Kluyveromyces lactis: one gene and its partner. The protein of the gene in region 1 interacts with the protein of each later gene in a pairwise test. Links are inferred from orthologs where the notes say so. Each region holds a gene or a part of one and is shown on either strand. Other genes may lie near its edges. The genes, in order: CAC2 and MSI1.

Evidence for each region.
Region 2: the proteins of CAC2 (region 1) and MSI1 interact in binary tests that used the Saccharomyces cerevisiae proteins (3 or more experiments, as listed by UniProt). The link is inferred for Kluyveromyces lactis from reciprocal best matches to the Saccharomyces cerevisiae genes CAC2 and MSI1.

What each region holds. Positions count from the first base shown.
Region 1 is NC_006041.1:982,522-985,988, reverse strand, and holds CAC2 (Cac2p), read right to left. Parts: upstream 2,321-3,467; coding exon 839-2,320; downstream 1-838. Other genes in the region: CUE1 (Cue1p), read left to right, coding at 1-467; KLLA0_E11155g (HAD domain phosphoesterase family swiss army knife RNA repair protein), read right to left, coding at 3,293-3,467. UniProt on the Saccharomyces cerevisiae protein: Acts as a component of the histone chaperone complex chromatin assembly factor 1 (CAF-1), which assembles histone octamers onto replicating DNA.
Region 2 is NC_006041.1:2,093,688-2,097,053, reverse strand, and holds MSI1 (Msi1p), read right to left. Parts: upstream 1,809-3,366; coding exon 555-1,808; downstream 1-554. Other genes in the region: PGI1 (glucose-6-phosphate isomerase), read right to left, coding at 2,144-3,366. UniProt on the Saccharomyces cerevisiae protein: Acts as a component of the histone chaperone complex chromatin assembly factor 1 (CAF-1), which assembles histone octamers onto DNA during replication and repair.

The DNA of each region.
Region 1 (3,467 bases):
GTATTCGTCGTAGAGTCAACGATGATATGATCGAAGTGGTACAATCCTTGGCTCCACATCTACATCCAGAACAGATCAGATACGACTTGGAACAAACCGGATCAGTTGAAACTACTGTAGAAAGATATCTCTCGGGTAGAGATATGCCATTCCCACCAGATTACGTCCCAGAATCTGAAACAGGTGGCAATTCTTCCAATGGTCAAAATCAATCGACCGGAAGCTCTGTAACTACAGGAAACAATACAAACAACAATAGCACATCTACAGATCCACGGAAAAGATCCAACATTAAAGCTGACAATCTGCTAAAAAAATTCAACGTGGATCCACAAGAAGATCTTTCAAACTTGAATCCCAACGATCTTTCCATAGAAGAAAGAAAGAGATTAATGGTATGGCAGGCAAGAAAGAGTATGGAACTAAAGGTGGAAAACAGTGAATACCTACAGTCTCTACTGAAATGATAGGTACAATTGTGTAGATATCTATAAATCGTACATATACCAGTAAATGAAATCCATTCTCAATTACATGCTAGAGTGTGTCCTTTACAGCTAGATGTCTTTCCAGAGAGAAATGTTGATCACGTGACTAACCATTTTTTTGCATTTCCTATTTTGTTTCTATATTGTTTCCCAGACCTTTCTGTTTCTACCTCCTAGAACTGCCAACACCCTGATTCTTGTCACGGGCTTGGCAATAAGGCAATCGGCTGGTGTCTCGAATCTTAACTCGGCGATTATTACTTACTACTATACACAGTAATTATTGCGTAGAGAACAGTTCAAAGTCACGTGTTATTCCGCCATCTCCCTCTCTATAAACTAATCTAGTTCTATTTAGGTTGATCTGATGTGACGAGAGTAGGTTGAACCCTGCGTTTGAGCTTCTCCTTTCCAACTGTGGTTGCAGCTTCTGAGACAAGCTGCGAGATCGATCTTTTAGCTGGTGAAGGGTTTGGAGTTTCGGCGGCACCGGTACTAAGATTTACGATACTAGCCTTTTGTGATGATTCTGGTTGTGATTGTGATTGCGATTGTGATTCGAGTTCCTTCGTCAAGATTGGTATAGATTGATCTTTCAAAGGTGTGCCAAAATCATTGTCTGTGAAGTGAATATATGAGCAGAACCCGTCTGTGCTTGATATCATTAGTAATGTTCCGTCTTGGCTCCACGCAAGATCTGTTATGGGGGTATAATGCAAATTTCCTGCGATCGCTATAGGACTGGTATTTTGTGTGTCGTACACCAGCACTTCATTCGTAGTTGCTACAGCGAATACCAGTGTATAAGGTGCTTTCACCCATTCAGACGCGGTTTCGTACATGATAGGATTAAACTTGACCACTAATGCCGGTTTTTGTAGAAAGGGTAGTGAAAACACGGGTTTGTTTGAATTTGAAGTTAGAGAAGCCCTTGTGTAAATATATACGGCATTCGCGTACTCTGGGTTATTATTTGAGGCATCCGTTTGTTCATCATTTCTGAAGACCCCAGCTGGTACACATAAGAGACTGCCGCATGGTGACATGGACAGCCTTCTGAAAAATGACGGAAGGGTTTCGTTATGGAATAAGAAAGTCACCTTCGACTTATCAAAATCGAGTTCTTTTTCACCAGGATTTTTCCTCCTTGGTAGTTCTGATTTTAATATTTTATTCACTAATTGTAAGCCCTTTACTTCGTTGTCCTCATAAATCATCTTACAAATCGCCAATGATCTGTCTGCAGATTGCGATACGATAAATTCTCCCTGAGGGTCCCATACAATCCCTTGCACGTAATGATTATGCTCCGTTATATGTCCTACCACTTTTCCCTGATCCACATTGAACACTCGTACGGTGTTATCCAAAGATGCAATAGCTATGCACGTTCCCTGAGGGTTCCATGAAATATCATAAATCTCGGCATTCGAGGCTGACCCTGACCTTAATCGCTTCCATACAGCCCACGATTCCTTAAAATCTTGGAATTCATCATCATCTACACCAAATTCCTTTACCATAGTCTCGTTCTTCTTCCATAGTAACAATAACCCATCGTCTCCCGCCGTGGCTAACGTGTCACCTTGCTTATTGAATCGACAAACGTTGACAGCTTGTTCGTGCTGCGTCAACGACGAAAGAAAATCAATTGTCTCTATCTTCCCATCATTTTCGCTCTCATTCAATTGCCAGACCCTGATTTTATTGTCACCTCCCGAAGTGAACAACCGTCTAGTGTTCTGGTTAGTCTCTGATAAGGGTTGAAAACATAACGAGTATATCGGATGAGAGTCATGCCAATATATCTGTAAACTCTCGGATTGTACCATTTTTTCCACTTTCTCTACTCGAACTGAGATAAATTGAACTAGTCCTATCTTATGAGCTCAGAATTACTCTACTAGTGCGTTAACAAATTTCGTTATAACTCTTTAGATCAACGTTACCTTTCCCTTCAATGCCTGATATTCTTTTTTTTTCCAGATTGTTTACGTGTATCGTCTTTTACTGAGGAATTCGATTTCTTAAGGAAAGAATATCAGCGATACAGCAGCAAATTGGATATTTAAATGAATATATACATTGCATGATGGGAACCTTATGCCATTAGAAATATTCCAACACTGAATAAAGGTAGTGAACACGACATACAACCCCCTTCCGCCTGTCTTTTCTCTTTTTTTCAATATAATAGCCCTATAGTAGACTGAAATAACAGTTTTTTTCAATATAAATTCAGTCAGTTTGAAAAAATTTTCAGATCTGTCACCATTACTTTAGTCATAACTCAGGCTCGAGCTGTCTGAAACTGTACTCACAGATCAGATCAGATCAACTGTTGCATCTATTGCAACATTTTATACTTGGGAAGTTTGTAGTGGTATCAGCAGATACCAATGCGTTGAGATTCAGGAGAATTTTACTCAGCGCATCAGTCAAATTCCCAGTAAACTTTTCTTTCAATAGACTACTGGAGCCGTTATTGTGCTTAAATGAACTGCTAACTGGAGAGGTGTGGTACTTCGGGTGTGCACCAATGAAATGTGCATCTGAGGGTCCTTTGAAATACAAGGAACATCCTCTTGGAGTCTTTGTTTACAATTATTTCAATTTATGATAGATCTGTTCGTGAGAACCAGTTCTATACCCTTTGGATTGGAATACAAATGAAGTTCCCCACAATTTTATATTTAGTTTAAAATTATTTATTATAGCCTTGGGTTTATGTTTGTATGTATGTTCTTGTTCTTTTTGTCCTTGTCGTTAACCAGATCTAGTGTCTGACGTCTTGTTTCTAGTACTTATTCAACGTCGCATGCTGTCTTTGCCAGATAATGGTATTTTGGAATAGCTATTGCTGAGAAACTGGGTAGTGAGTGGTTTATTTCAGCAAGAGACCCCCTGTTGTTGATGTGGTCCATCACACTTTGCATATCTTCATCTGAGTAGTCCGAAGTGAACAATATATGGGTTCCC
Region 2 (3,366 bases), about 1.1 Mb from region 1:
TAGTCGAAATAAAACTCAAAATGAACTACAATTCAAGAATAACACAAACGTATGTCTATAACTTCTAACTAATTAAAGGTCAGTTAATTGGATTTCGATGTGTGAAAAGTGTAGGTATTTCCAAATCCTAAAAGTTTCGCCAAAAGTTGAAAGAGAAAATTTTGTTTTCCCTCGAATTGGCCTGGCTGCTGGAAAATAAAAAATGGGCTATACGTAGTGGAAAGTATTGGCATAAAGTAGTATACAACTATAAAACATACAACAGTTGCTGATGGCGTATCTTGTGCAACTAGTATAGAGTTGAAACATGGTAGATTGGCATATCCTTTGTATACCTGTTTGCATAGAAGAGTTGTAGAGAGTTGTAGAGAGTTGTAAAGAGTGGCATCTCGTACCCGGTGATTTGGTCCATGTTCAGTGCTATGATTGGTTATAGGTCACGTGAAAGGAATTCAAGGAAGAGTAACGTGTTTCTTGTGTCGTGCGACACATTTATTATATGCGAATAAACAATACCGATACATGTATATATCGACGACATGTTCCAGTTTAATCTACAATTGTTCTACTAAGTTTGCTGCTGGCTTCCAGATATGAATTGAATTGTCGTTCGATACACTGCACATGGTCCATGGATCATGTTGTGACCATGAAATGTCGTTGACTCCGAGCATGTGACCACCATGGACAAATAATAGCATGTTGTTTTCAGCGTTAGAGTCCTCTTGTTCACCTGATGCATCCCATATCTTCACTAATCCACTCTGTTGATCTGCAGTGGCCAGTATTTGCGGTATCTGAGGGTTCCATTGAATGGCAGAGATGGGATCCTGATCTCCATGTTCCCATTCCTTTATTGGCTCCTTGAAATCTCTTATGTCCCAGATCTTTAACTGGCCCTGAGAATCACCGGTACACAATATCATATCGTTCTTATAGTTAAACTCGATGGCATTGATTCCATCTGTATGTGTAGTACGGTGTAATGTGTCCATTTTCGTATCTTGTCTTATGTCTATCAGTCCAATGACGTTGGATTCTCCGCATGATGCTAAAATGGAAGTGTGGTTTACCATCCATGACACATCATTGACTCCATTCGCGTCCATCACACTCTCTCTTTCAGGTATTTCCATTCTCTGTTTCGACTTATCAAATTTAGTAAGATCCCATACTTTTACTTTCCCGTTACTTTGACATGTAGCTAAGGTACCCTCCAATTGGTAATTCCATGCAAGGGATAAACTCTCGTCCTGTTCATCGTCACCGTTATTTCTGCATTCGATTTCGAATTTCCTGCCTGTGGAAATCTTATTACCATGTTTCGTTCTATCAAATATGTACACTGATCCATTTGATGATGCAGTCCCAATTATATCGGGGTTCTGAGGCATGTACCGACATCTGTTGCAATCACCGTCAGGGTACGTTATTCGTACCTCTTCTTCTAATGTCTTGTCGTTCAGTTTCAATGAATTATCCAGTTTAAATTCCATTTCATCCATGTCGAAGTTATTGATGGAACTCCATTTCATATGATTCATGGTAGATATGGACCCGATGTAAATTGACTCATCCTGCGGAAGTTGCTGCGATGTGAATGAAGATAATAATATCCTTTGTTTGTCATTCGTAAGAGTACGGTCTGGGAAGAATTGGCAGGATAGAGATGGCCATTTCGATGTGTTTGTATTCAAATAGTCGTAGAGCAACTTTGTATTCTTCTTCCAATTGGTATACCTTTGCTGTACTTCATTAGAAATTCCAGAGCCCAGTTCTGGAGGTTCTTCTATAATCAACTCACTCATTGTTGCGTCCTCTATATGCTATGAGCTAGCTTGGTATTGTTATATCTTGTCACAATCTCGATGTCTGTACTCTCGCACTACATCACGCGTTGTTGAATCTTTTGGACGTGTATCATTTTTCATTTTCCTTAATGTAAATATGAAAAAAGAGATTGATTAAGTGAAAACAATTACTTCCAATGTAGTTGATATTCGTGACATTGTCGTATATAAGTCATTCATTGCACATAGCGTTTTGATAAAGAAGTTTATTTAGTTTGGTTGTACGTAAAGATGTGGAATTCTAAGTTCACTGCATATCTTAGGTGAAAAGGAAATTGCATCGCATTCTCACATTAGATCCATTCTTTAAATTGGTTGATCAAACCGTTGGTGGAACTGTCGTGAGAAGAAATCTTGTTATCAGTGGCCAATTCACTACCAATAACCTTAGCCAAAACCTTACCTAATTCAACACCCCATTGGTCAAATGAGTTGATGTTCCAGATAGCACCTTCGGTGAATGTAACGTGTTCGTAGTAAGCAATCAAAGCACCAAGGGTAGCTGGAGTAATCTTTTGAGCCAAGATGGAAGTGGTTGGTCTGTTACCAGAGAAGACCTTGTGAGGTACTAGACCACCAGTGGCACCTTCTGATTTGACCTGTTCTTCATCTTTACCGACCATCAATGCCTCAGCTTGAGCGAAGAAGTTAGATGCTAGCATTTTTTGATGTAGGTTGTTTTCAATTGGGTTATGAGATTGGGCTGCCAAGATGAAATCAGATGGAATCAATTTGGTACCTTGGTGAATCAATTGGAAGAAAGAATGTTGAGCATTGGTAGCTGGTTCACCGAACAAGATAGAACCAGTAGAGTAGTTTGCAAAAACATTACCTCTGGTGACGGACTTACCGTTGGATTCCATAGACAATTGTTGCAAATAAGCTGGGAATCTGTGCAAGTATTGATCGAATGGCGCAACCAAATGTGTTTGAGCATCGAAGAAGTTGTTGTACCAAACAGATAATAGACCACCCAACAATGGAATGTTGTCTTCCAATGGAGTTTCAACGAAATGCTTGTCTACTGCCTCAGCACCCTTCAAGAATGCTTCAAAGTTGTCGAAACCGATGTATAGAGCAACTGACAAACCAATAGCGGACCAAACAGAGTAACGACCACCGACCCAGTTTTCAAAACCGAACATGTTCTTTGTGTCGATACCGAACTTTTCAACTTCAGTAGCGTTAGTGGACAAAGCAGCAAAATGCTTGGAGATATGGGATTGGTCACCACCGTTCTTAGATAAGAACCAGTTCTTAGCACTAGTTGCGTTAGTGATAGTCTCAGCAGTGGTGAAAGTCTTGGATGCGATCAAGAACAAAGTGGTTTCATGGTCCAAATCCTTCAAAGTTTCAGCAATATGAGTACCGTCAATGTTAGAAACAAAGTGTACCTTCAAGTTGGTAGCATAATGTTTCAATGCTTCAGTCACCATAACTGGACCCAAATCTGAACCACCGATACCAATGTTGACAACATCGGTAATAGACTTACCGGTGTAACCCTTCCAAGCAC